Linked DNA regions of Arabidopsis thaliana. The protein of the gene in region 1 purifies or fractionates together with the protein of each later gene. This does not show direct contact. Each region holds a gene or a part of one and is shown on either strand. Other genes may lie near its edges.

What was found. The genes of interacting proteins can lie anywhere in the genome.
Region 2: the proteins of CDKD1;3 (region 1) and PGM3 purify together in Arabidopsis thaliana (affinity purification with mass spectrometry, with the first as the bait; one large-scale study listed by BioGRID). This does not show direct contact.

Annotation. Positions count from the first base shown.
Region 1 is NC_003070.9:6,206,365-6,211,160, forward strand, and holds CDKD1;3 (cyclin-dependent kinase D1;3), read right to left. Parts: upstream 3,165-4,796; 5' UTR 2,936-3,164; coding exon 2,837-2,935; intron 2,692-2,836; coding exon 2,393-2,691; intron 2,307-2,392; coding exon 2,198-2,306; intron 2,098-2,197; exon of another isoform or gene 1,782-2,097; intron 1,769-1,781; coding exon 1,643-1,768; intron 1,490-1,642; coding exon 1,254-1,489; intron 1,175-1,253; coding exon 917-1,174; intron 813-916; coding exon 764-812; 3' UTR 507-763; downstream 1-506. Other genes in the region: AT1G18030 (Protein phosphatase 2C family protein), read left to right, coding at 1-3, 204-314; AT1G18050 (SWAP/surp RNA-binding domain protein), read right to left, coding at 3,598-3,878, 4,121-4,191.
Region 2 is NC_003070.9:8,218,085-8,225,093, forward strand, and holds PGM3 (Phosphoglucomutase/phosphomannomutase family protein), read left to right. Parts: upstream 1-1,723; 5' UTR 1,724-1,861; coding exon 1,862-1,939; intron 1,940-2,527; coding exon 2,528-2,609; intron 2,610-2,696; coding exon 2,697-2,752; intron 2,753-3,105; coding exon 3,106-3,219; intron 3,220-3,354; coding exon 3,355-3,417; intron 3,418-3,562; coding exon 3,563-3,682; intron 3,683-3,768; coding exon 3,769-3,869; intron 3,870-3,974; coding exon 3,975-4,034; intron 4,035-4,135; coding exon 4,136-4,235; intron 4,236-4,328; coding exon 4,329-4,486; intron 4,487-4,573; coding exon 4,574-4,669; intron 4,670-4,778; coding exon 4,779-4,842; intron 4,843-4,928; coding exon 4,929-5,010; intron 5,011-5,092; coding exon 5,093-5,271; intron 5,272-5,362; coding exon 5,363-5,439; intron 5,440-5,549; coding exon 5,550-5,682; intron 5,683-5,794; coding exon 5,795-5,911; intron 5,912-6,030; coding exon 6,031-6,102; 3' UTR 6,103-6,463; downstream 6,464-7,009. Other genes in the region: AT1G23180 (ARM repeat superfamily protein), read left to right, coding at 64-160, 263-316, 397-437, 535-725, 800-1,431. UniProt on the Arabidopsis thaliana protein: Catalyzes the reversible isomerization of alpha-D-glucose 1-phosphate to alpha-D-glucose 6-phosphate. The mechanism proceeds via the intermediate compound alpha-D-glucose 1,6-bisphosphate.

The DNA.
Region 1 (4,796 bases):
AAGGTAAATACCTACAGTTGTCAAAATCACTTTGTCCTCCATTTCACACTCTCTTTAACTACATAGAAAGAAGCTCAAAAAACAGATGTTTTTCGGTAGCCATGTGAGCAAAATGGCTTGTTAGAACCTTGTGCACACAAGTAAAGAGTGTCAAGGGAAATTAAATGTGAGAAACTAAGAGGCTAAGAACTATGATTTTGTAGGAGGGCTTGCATGTAAGCACGGTAAGTCGCCGTCTTGTGAAGGAAGCTGTGAAAGAACGTCGTTGCAAAGACAACTGCACAGCAATCGTGATAGTCTTCAAGCGGGTATGACTAAAGAAGAGCCTGACTGACATGTGGGCATCTGTTTTTCTGGCTCGTATGTGTTTTATAAACCTGTTGTTGGTATTTGGTAAAATCTTTTTGAGCTGTCAATGGATCAATTAAATTCCTGGGGCCACCATCGAAAGAAAAATGAGTTTGAAGATTAAACAGAGCTCTCTTTGTACCGCAAAGAATTCTAGAAGCAAAAAGTAGAAAGCTTTATAATCATAGACTTCATAGTACAGTATGATCAGTTTACAATGAATAAAAAGCCTATGGGACAACAAAATATTATCATTGTGAATCTAAGGTCCCTCTGGTTTGTAATCAAGCTAAATATGGAAAAGAATAAATCGCCAGATTACACAAGCAGCAGTAAATTGACAACTTAACAATGGTGTGGTTTCACCAGAACATGAAAATGGAGAAGCTAAGAGAAGAGTGCATAACCAACAGTCTTACTGGAACTCAAGATCGAGTTTCCTCTTCAGATGAGATCTATCAGCACTACAAATTGAACAAGAAGAAGTCATTAAAACACAATCAATCTTGAGGCTGTAATGACAAATGAGATTAATATGCAGTGAGGGAGAAACTGTCTTGTTTTTTACCTGGTGATTGTTGGCCTGTTTGGAGGTCGCTCAGCGAGGATGGTAAAATCTAATGACATGGGTGCTTGTTGATCCTTGTCAACATGAGACTTCAAACTATCAACCCTCCCACGCTCAGGCATCACTCTTCTAAGCTTACGTGGTGGTGATTGCACTGTAATGGCCTCATGTTTACCGTAAGATGATTTACCATCCTGCTTAGGAACGGGCTTTGGGAGCTTAGCCGGGTCAGTAGGAGCAGGTGCAGAAGTGAAGTACCTGAAATAATGAAAACAAAGGTGTGAGAGCAGAACGCTAGATATACTTTGCCTATAAACAGATGGTGAACATTAGGCACCTGTGTTCTAGAGCCTGCTTAATGGAAATTCTAGCCTTTGGGTCATAGGTAAACATTTTGGACAACAAGTCGAGAGCATCATCACTAACTGCTGGGAATAAAGAACGTAGAGACGGTGCAGGGACAAATTGATACTCTACATAATCTGGAAGCTTTGTTAAATCCGGCCACTGATCTGCTTTTGGTGTCCCAAAAGCAGCAAATATTTTGCTTAATTGATCAATATCACTGTTTCCCTGCAACGGCAAAAATAGAATAAGTAAACATACCGAGAAAATTGATAATGAATATGTAATTATGTAGTCTGAGAGTGAGTATAACATCCAAAGAGATGACAATTGGACTAAAGTTTTAATGGTAGCCATTAGATTTGAGTAAGATTATTTAACCTGAAGAAATGGTCTGCGTAGTAGAAGTTCGGCGAATATGCAGGCAACGGCCCAAACATCAACTGCAGCACCATATTGTTTTGCACCAAACAAAAGTTCTGGTGCTCTGTACCATCTAGCAAACACCTGTGCATTATCAGATATATCAAGATATGAAGATAATATAACAACTAGAAACAAGAGAAAATAAGTTGCATTGCGCATTTGGAAACAGAGCTCACATGGATTCTATTGTAATTTTGGGTGTTCAAAGGGAAACAAAGAAGGCAGAAATAGCTCAGGTCAAAAATCCGGTTAACAGCAAAACTTTTAGTACAGATATGAGATAGCTACTGCACCATCATTTAATATGAGTTGAGACTGTTTAATACATGTTACATTTAGTATACAACTAGAGAAATGAAAAGACATGAGACATCTAATCTTCCTCATCCCTAGACATAACTACTGATAAGAACTACTTAAAACTTTCTTATCAATATTTCATATGAGTTAGTCGATCAATTTGGTTATATTACAGCAATAGATAAAATGGCAATGCGGCAAAAGGCATACCTGGTGGGTAAACTTACGATTTGGACTACCAAATATACGTGCTAAGCCAAAATCTGCAAGCTTAAGCTGTCCATCAACTCCTATTAACAAGTTATTTGGCTTCATATCCCTGAACTCAAGCCACACATAATCAGTGCCCAAACCAAGCAACATTACAGAGACAATAAGCAAGTTGTTAAGGATAAACAAATGTACCTGTGCAAAACCCATTTATCGTGGCAATAAGCAAGTCCTTTAAATGTCATTAGGAGGTAGGATTTAATGTCGGCGGGTGAGAGGAAAATGTTAGAATCGCGAATAACTGCTTCGAGGTCAGTCTCCATGAACTCAAAGACAAGATGCAAGTTTTCCTTGTGAGGAAATGCATCAATGAGCAGAATAATATGAGGATGCTTTAGCTCTTTGAGCATTTTGATTTCTCTGAGAGCTGTAATATTTACACCTTCTCTTTGTTTACCAAGCCTTATCTTCTTAATTGCTACAGTTTGTTCCGTCTGCAAAATTACACCCCACAATTACTTCCCCTTGATCCAACAAAAACTTCAATCAAAATCCGGAACCAAAAAAGAAGGAGAAATTAGGAATTGCCGACAGATCCTAAACCCTAATTTTGCAAACAAAAATCAGCAAAGATATGACCTTAGTATCAGTGGCTTTGAAGACGACTCCATAGGTACCTTGCCCAAGAACCTCTTGCTTGAGATACCTATCAGCAACTTTCTTTGGCTGCTCCGGCATTTTCGGGTTTTTCAGAACCCACTCAATAATCGCGCCTCTCTCTTTCTTCTTAATTCACGTCGCTAGAATTCGATTGCTTTCCGATTTTTATTCTAAATTGAGTAAAATCGACGATGAGGAAGATACCGGGAAAATTTAGGGTTTCAGCTTTGAGAGCTCCGGCTCCGGAGAAAAAGTAGCCGTTGGCGCGTTTGCAGACGCAATCGGCTAATCGAGGGAAACAACAAATAAAGAGAAACGCCCAATTATTTACTTTTCTAGTTTTTTATACATTTAATATCCAAACATTTTCGATTTATAAAAGAGAAAAATATTATTTAATATCTAAACTTTTAAACAATAGCTAAATTAATCGTGAATTTTTGATTTTTTGAAATGACTGTTTTATACCTCAACAAATTTAACCTATAACCTATAAAGCATATTAGCAATCCACGTGTTTTTGCTAGAGTTTAGCTGATTTCTTAAGAGCTATCGTTGCTGTTTCTCGTCCATATCCCCTTCCTTGATAGTTTCAAGCTCTTTGCCAGTAATCCATTCAGGGAGTATAGCTGCATACTTGCGAGGTGGTGGAGGCGGATACTTCATTGTCGGCTTCTGGTCACTAGCAAAGCCCGGAGGAGGTTTTGGAATCTGAAGCGGTGGTTCCCTTACCCTCACCCTCAATGGAACATCAGGTATCCCATAATCACTAAGTTTGATCTCAGGTCCCTCATGTAATTCTGCGCACGGTATCCAGCAAGCTTTTTCTGGTAATAAGCATGATAACGATCTGAGCTCCAGAAGAAGGAGTACTTTGGGTTTCCCGCATAGCTTGTCATCATCTTTCTCTCCATCTCAGGCCCCTCCATGAAAACCAAACGGGCTGAGCTATCCGCATAATATCTAGTCCTCGGAGGTACATCTGCCGGAGTTCGATTGCAAATCACTCGACATCTCTTTTCTATACAAAGAGAAACACAAAATAATAGATAAAGTTAACCCTTGATGACAAGAGATGCAAAGAGATCGATTGAATGTGTTGATTATCACTTGACCCTGAGCTCTATATGACTATATTTATACAAGGGGTAAACTACCAAGAAAACGAATTATCTTCCTAAACGTAAATATAAGAAAAGGCAAAGATACATATCCAAGGACTACTTAGGGTTTCGGAGAGAGATAACAAGTACCGTACCTCACCCACCGGAAAGTAACAGCCACGCCGCGAGAGCCACAGTGACGTCGTGAACGAACGAACTCTAGTTCTGAAGCTTGGAAATTGACAATTGCAAATCAACGGAGAATATCCTCTTAGAACAAATCCACGGAGCCCTATGCGTAGCCTAGCACTTATAGACGAGAAACTTGTGCTCCAGGTTTTATAATGGGCCTCTGTTATTCGGGCTTATAACTTCGGGCCATATTTACTTAATTTGAAGTTAAATTCGGTTTTGGGTCGAGATTTTGGGTTTTAGTTGTTTTTTGTTGTGAGAGACGTCGTTTTCCATTTTCACCATACATTATCTACTTAACCGGTAAGAACCAAATCATACATACATGAACTGTTATGTTATAAAACCATTCTGTTTAACATCAGAACATTACGGAAAAACGGTCTATTTCCCCATGGGAACTATCGCATCTGGCTAGATGAAGCCCGATCTTTGACCTCTTGCTATTTACCCATGAAATGAAAGTTAAACGTCTATTTCCCCACCAATTAAAAGTTCAAGAGCTTAATGTCCCCGAATCGTGGTTACTTCGGTTTGATACGTAAACCCGAGACGAAACCATATTATCGGTCAAAACCAAACCAAAAAAACCCGGATTCGTTTTTAAAACCCGATCCATTGTCGAATCCCAAATCCAAAATCTA
Region 2 (7,009 bases), 2.0 Mb from region 1:
TCTTTACATTTTTACTAAGCAGTTTCTCCTCAGAGGTTGAGATTATTTATACTTGTAATGCAGCCGCACTGTTTGCCAGAGGATTGAAGCTGAAGGTGCAGTATGGTTTCTTATTAATCTTCTGAAGCAGCCAGAGATCTCACTAAACGTTACAGAACACGTATGACTTCATTTTCTTCTTCCTTTGTTCTTTGATATCTTTGTCTAGGCTATTATGGAATAACTGGACGTGAAATGGTATTTTGTGAACTATGTTATGCAGGTTCTGGATATAATTGCTCATATCTTAGATCCTAGCAAGGAAATGGAATCCAAGGTGTGTTTATTTTCCAAGGTTGATTATTATACATTAAATCTGCTTTCATTTGGCTTATGCTATTTCTCTACATGCTACAGTTTTATGAAGGACCGGTGAACGGATCAAAAGCAGACTCCAGGTCAGTCTTCTTCTCGATCTTCCTATCTTCAGCTCATTCATTCTTTTTGTTTTTTTAGAAGTATTAATTACTCAAAACATCGGATGGGAATGAACAGAAAGGAAGTTCTGGACGCTGCTGTTTTTTCTCGGCTCGTCCAGATTGCGAAAACAGCCTCTCCGAACCTGCTAAGAAACGCAATCTCTGTCATCGAGTTTGGTATAATCAGTAATCCAAACATGGACACGATCATCTCCAAGGATATCACAACTGTTCTTGATCTTGCTCTCCGGCAGAAAGTCCTGGAAGGTACAAAACTTATCTTTTGATATAACTCTGTTTGAATTTTATAACAGCATACAATACTTTTTATGGAAATGCAGAACCTGAGAATGAAGCTGAGGAGTTAGAGAAACATCTGCTTAAGCTAGAAGAAGCTGGTTTGACGATTTCCGCTGCTTCAAGGCTACTGACAAAACTTCTTGACTCCGAGTCCTTTCGCCAAACAATAGATACCGCGGTCTTCATAGAATTAGTAAGGAAGATCCTAAGATCAAGCCTCCCTCTACACTACAAAGACTGGGTTGCCGCTTGTCTTGTCAAACTCACCGCTCTCTCCTCTCCCTCTCAATCCCTCAACAATCCGATCAATCTTGAGGTAACTCTGTACAAAACGATCCCGAGCCTCGTGGAACAAATGAGCTTTTCCTCATCACCAGAAACGAAAGAAGCAGCGGTTTTAGAACTGAACAAGATAGTCTCCGAGGGAGTTCCAGAATCTATCCAAACACTTGCTTCACAAGGAGGTATCGAACCGCTGGTTAAGCTTCTTGAAGAAAGGAACGAGCGGTGCGTTGAAGCGAGTTTGTCAGTATTGTACAACTTAACCATGGACAGTGAGAACCACACAGCCATCATAAGAGCAGGAGCTGTACCAGTATTGAGACGTATCGTTATGTCTCAACGACCACAATGGGAGAAAGCTCTTCGGTTACTCAGAAATTTACCCGTTTAAGACATTTTTACAGATTATTGTCATGTAAAATTTTGGAATCAATTAGAATAATATAATGTATGATTTGTCATGTGAGACGAATATACGAAAAGTTAATTACATTAAGATAATCGGATTACGTAGCACGTATATTACTATTACCATATTCTAGAGATTACACATGATCAATCAAATATTTAATCTTTGAAATGTTACGCAAGCAAAAATGAATTTAAAATCTGAAAATACAATCCAACGGCTGAGATTTTCTTACTGTGTCAGTGAAAACGAGAGAAACGTTCTAGTTCACTCACTTGGTTACACGTGTCTTGGGATCGTTTAGCTTTTAAGCAAGCTTCTCTTTTGCGTAATTTATTTAAGAGCTGCTTGCTTTTATCATCATCACTCTCTCTGCGTCCAAATTTTGATCTTTGTTCTTCTCAAAGCGAATATGGTTTTCAAGGTTTCTACCGTATCCACATCTCCTATTGATGGCCAGAAACCAGGAACTTCTGGTCTTCGTAAGAAGGTTCGTTGATCGATCCTTGTCTTCTGAATCAAACGAAATCGAATTGTTGCATCTGGATCAGATCTGTTTAGATTTTCTTGAGTGTGATTTTGAAGTGAGATTGACCATCTGATTAGATTTGATCTATGCATTAATCTATATTGATTAGTGAATGATGACAAATTTTAAATTTCGTTTTCGTTATTTTATTTGGATCAAGTTCGAGATCACGTTTATTATATTTGATTTGAGTATATGTTTGGGACGCTTCTATGTGGTGAATGTTGATTTGATAGAGCTTGAAATTACGTTTTTTGAGTTGGTGTAGCGAAATGGAGACTATATGGATTGAATTTGTGTATAATTGAAACTAGGGAAGAGCCTAGTTGTTATTGTCAGATCTTCGTTTAACGTATATACGATCTGCAATGACGTTTATTGAGACTCACTGATCAGATCTGTTTCAGATATTTTGATAAAAGAAATTTGGGTTGATCATTTTATCCAATCAATCGAGTGTCGATTGTTTGTTCTACTCTCTGCAGATATCAAACTAGCATCTTTTTGTATCTCTGATTAGTATTTTTTTTTTTTTTTCTAACTGTGTAGGTGAAAGTGTTCAAGCAACCCAATTATCTAGAGAATTTTGTCCAAGCAACATTCAATGCTCTTACGGCGGAGAAAGTTAAAGGTGAGATTTTTTTCATACTCATCTTAGCTTCTCAGAGATATCTGCTCATTCGAAAAATTCATGAGTGTTTATTGTTCATATGTGCAGGTGCCACACTTGTGGTCTCTGGTGATGGTCGTTATTACTCAAAGGATGCTGTTCAGGTAAGGCCGATGATATTCCCTGTCTTCTGGATCTGTGTGAATGTAATTGGCGTATCCATAGAATTATGAATTAGTGCTCATGTATTTACAATGTTTTGGAGGGAACTCCTGTGTTAGGAAGGCCTGCTATTATCATCAATGCCTTGCTTATTTTTCTTTGTGTTCATCTCTAAAATTTGCATCGAAACCTCTATAGAGAGATTAGAGGTTTATAGAAGTTAAAGTTTTGTTTGACTTTGAAATCTCTGAAACTTAAGTTTGTTTGATCTACTCCTATTACAAATCCGGTTCATACTGTTACAGATGAAGATGTTTTACTGCTTTTCATACAATTTTATTTTGTATCTTAACAGATCATAATTAAGATGGCAGCAGCTAATGGTGTACGACGTGTGTGGGTTGGTAAAAACACTCTGTTATCAACTCCTGCTGTATCAGCTGTGATTCGTGAAAGATCAGGGGCTGATGTGAGATTTCTTTCTCTATGCTCATGGTTGTAGTGACATTTTGTTTTTTGTTTTTTTTGGTTATTTGCTATGTTTGTGCATGACGCAAAATGTAATGATGGTTTTGAGTTACTTAACCCCAGTCTCCGATTACAGGGATCGAAAGCAACTGGAGCATTTATCTTAACAGCAAGCCACAATCCTGGTGGCCCTACTGAGGTCCGTTCTGTTCTTGTTCCATCTCTACTGTGCTATCCTTTCATTTGAACTATTCGTTTTGTATCTCTTTATTTGTTCTTTTTTTAATAATAAGATATCTAGATGGATAATAAGACTAAGAGGTGATTCCATACCCCTTGTACAGGATTTTGGAATCAAATACAATATGGAAAATGGAGGACCTGCTCCTGAATCAATCACTGATAAAATTTACGAGAACACTAAGACAATCAAGGAGTACCCAATAGCACAAGATCTACCCAATGTATTCTTAAGAATCCTCTTATAGATTTCCATCATCTGTCTTTTGTTGAATCATAGTTGATCTGGTCTATCTGATGAATGCGACAGGTTGATATTTCTGCTGTTGGTGTAACCAGTTTTGAAGGACCTGAAGGAAAATTTGATGTTGAAGTTTTTGATCCCGCAGATGACTACGTTAAATTAATGAAGTGAGTGGTCCCTCAATTTAAAAGCATGATTCTGGAATCTGCTCCCTCTATGGTCTATGTGCAATTTTTATGATCTTTCTAAAGAAAAATTCTCGCTCCTTCAAGGTCAATCTTCGATTTTGAAGCCATCCGGAAATTGCTATCATCTCCAAAGTTTACATTCTGGTATGTAACTAACATTGGTTCCCAAACCTTTTCCATTTGAGTTAAGTTTTGTAATATATGTTCCATCACTGTAATGTTATATTTTACTTTGTTTTATGAAGCTATGATGCATTGCATGGAGTTGCTGGAGCCTATGCACATCGCATCTTTGTCGAAGAACTCGGTGCGCAAGAAAGCGCATTATTGAACTGCACTCCCAAGGTCTTATTTTTGTCTAACCAAGAAACGCTATTCCATAAATGATTACAAATACACCTCCAGGCTCAATATTTACCACAATACAACGATTTGCAGGAGGACTTTGGAGGAGGGCATCCGGATCCCAATTTGACCTATGCTAAGGAGCTTGTGGCACGAATGGGATTAGGTAAATCCGACACTGGAGGTGAACCTCCAGAGTTTGGCGCCGCTGCTGATGGTGATGCAGACCGTAACATGATCCTTGGTAAAAGGTAGCTTACTGACGTTTTCAAGAGAGATACATCCATGGAACTAGTATACCAAGTACTTTTAAACTTAAAGTATCTCTTCATTTGTAGGTTCTTTGTAACTCCTTCGGATTCAGTTGCCATAATTGCTGCAAATGCTATTGGTGCCATCCCGTACTTCAGCTCTGGTTTGAAAGGTGTTGCAAGGTATTATACACCTGGGCTCTTTTTTTACTTCTAGTAGAATTCTGTGTATACAACTCTTTTAATATATCTTTTTTGTGGATTATTTTGTAACTTCCACTTCTTGTTTTAGGAGCATGCCAACCTCAGCTGCTCTTGATGTCGTTGCAAAAAGCTTGAATTTGAAGTTCTTTGAGGTACATGTCACCGTGCAACTTCTATCCAGCTTCTTTTCTCCTAACTACATAATTTAATTTCATATCTCTATTAAATCACATATCAGGTTCCAACAGGCTGGAAGTTTTTTGGTAATCTGATGGATGCTGGGATGTGTTCTGTTTGTGGAGAAGAAAGTTTTGGAACTGGTCAGTTTCTATTTCCACACTCACACATCTGTTCATAACTTTAAAACAACCTATACAGTTCTGAAAGAAAGATCTTTCACAGGCTCGGATCATATCCGTGAGAAAGACGGAATATGGGCAGTTCTTGCATGGATGTCTATACTTGCTCACAAGAACAAGGGAAATATTGACGGTAACGCTAAACTGGTGTCAGTTGAAGACATTGTCCGCCAGCATTGGGCTACCTACGGTCGTCACTATTACACTCGTTACGACTATGAGGTAAAAGTTGCTAAGTTTGGTGATTGTAATTATACCATATTATATGGAAGAAACAGTACCCTTACTGACATCTCAAAATTTGTCTCTAAAGAATGTAGACGCAGGTAAAGCTAAGGAACTGATGGAGCATTTGGTCAAATTGCAATCTTCAATTCCTGAAGTTAACAAGTACACACACTTCCACTTCTCTGAAATCCCTTCCTTTTATACTTGAACACGTACTCATCAGTTTGGTACTCTGTTTTTCTAACCTCTTCTTCTCTCTTGATTTTATTCAGGATTGTGAAAGGAATTCGTTCGGACGTGGCAAGCGTCGCCAGTGCTGATGAATTCGAGTACAAAGATCCAGTTGATGGATCCATTTCGAAGCACCAGGGAATCCGTTACTTGTTTGAAGACGGATCACGACTTGTAAGTCATCTTTTTCTTCGGTATTTGAGCTTGGATACATTCCAGCTAAGAACAAAGTGATAGAAATCAAAACTAACTAATCCTCTCTTGTTATATCTGAAACCATATGAAGGTTTTCCGTCTCTCTGGAACTGGCTCAGAAGGAGCAACCATCCGGCTTTACATCGAACAGTACGAAAAGGATGCTTCAAAAACCGGCCGAGAATCCCAGGAAGCTTTGTCTCCTCTGGTCAGTTGCTTACTATAAAACCTCAAATCCATAAACTGTTTTCCGACTCATTACCATTTAGCTAATACCAAAGGGGTTTTCTCTAATCAAATACGTAATTGTTGATGTGTGATTCACAGGTTGACTTAGCTCTAAAGCTGTCGAAGATGGAAGAGTTCACAGGCCGATCAGCCCCCACCGTCATAACATAAGAAGGGTCAAGCTCAACGACTCAAACCATTCACCTTTTCGTCTATATGATGTTTTCTTCTTATACTATCCAAGTTACATTATAAGAATAATTAGTCTCAGGGAGAATTTGTATTTCTCATCAGAATTCTGAACAACCAAGACTGATTTCTTGAGTTGTTGTGAGGCTTATACTTGTACGGATTTGGCTTTCTCAGTTTTGTTCTCTCTTGTTTCCGTATTTTGGCGAGTATACTCTCTTAACATCTAAGTTCATTGATACCTCAAAGCATGCTACGACCATCCATTGACAAATCTCAGAGTTGTCTAATTACTTCAAATGGGTACTCATGAAAATGCACCCTCTCGTGTTTTGGTTTGATGTTGCATGGTTTTCAATGCATGATACCATAATATATGGACGAAAGCCATTTTTTATTACTTCTCTTTTGAAAAGTGGGAGAGACGTCGAACTTGAAAACGAAAGAGAATAAATGGAAGATTCAATATATGTATGTGTTGCTTTCGAAACGAATATAGAGAATTGGAACAAGGAAACCCAAAGATTTGGTTAGAGTCGTACACAACCCTAATTCTCCCACCGGACCTTCCATATCTAGAACGAAGCTTCATTCAACTTTCTACTCCACTTAAACCACACTATCCTTTATTTCGTGTAAGTATATCTTTCTTATACTCGATTTCTTTCTCTTTTGAGTTTTAGTATCAAATATTTGTATCATTGACCTATCAGTATATTTCAAATCCAAATTCAGACATAATGAGTTCTGTCAAGTATCAATAACATGTGACTAATTGAGTGGTCGTATAAATCATATTCATATACATAATATATGAACGTGAGAAAAAAAAGAATTTGATTATATAATCGTGCAATATATTTTGTTTTCTCGAAAAAGCTATGCATAT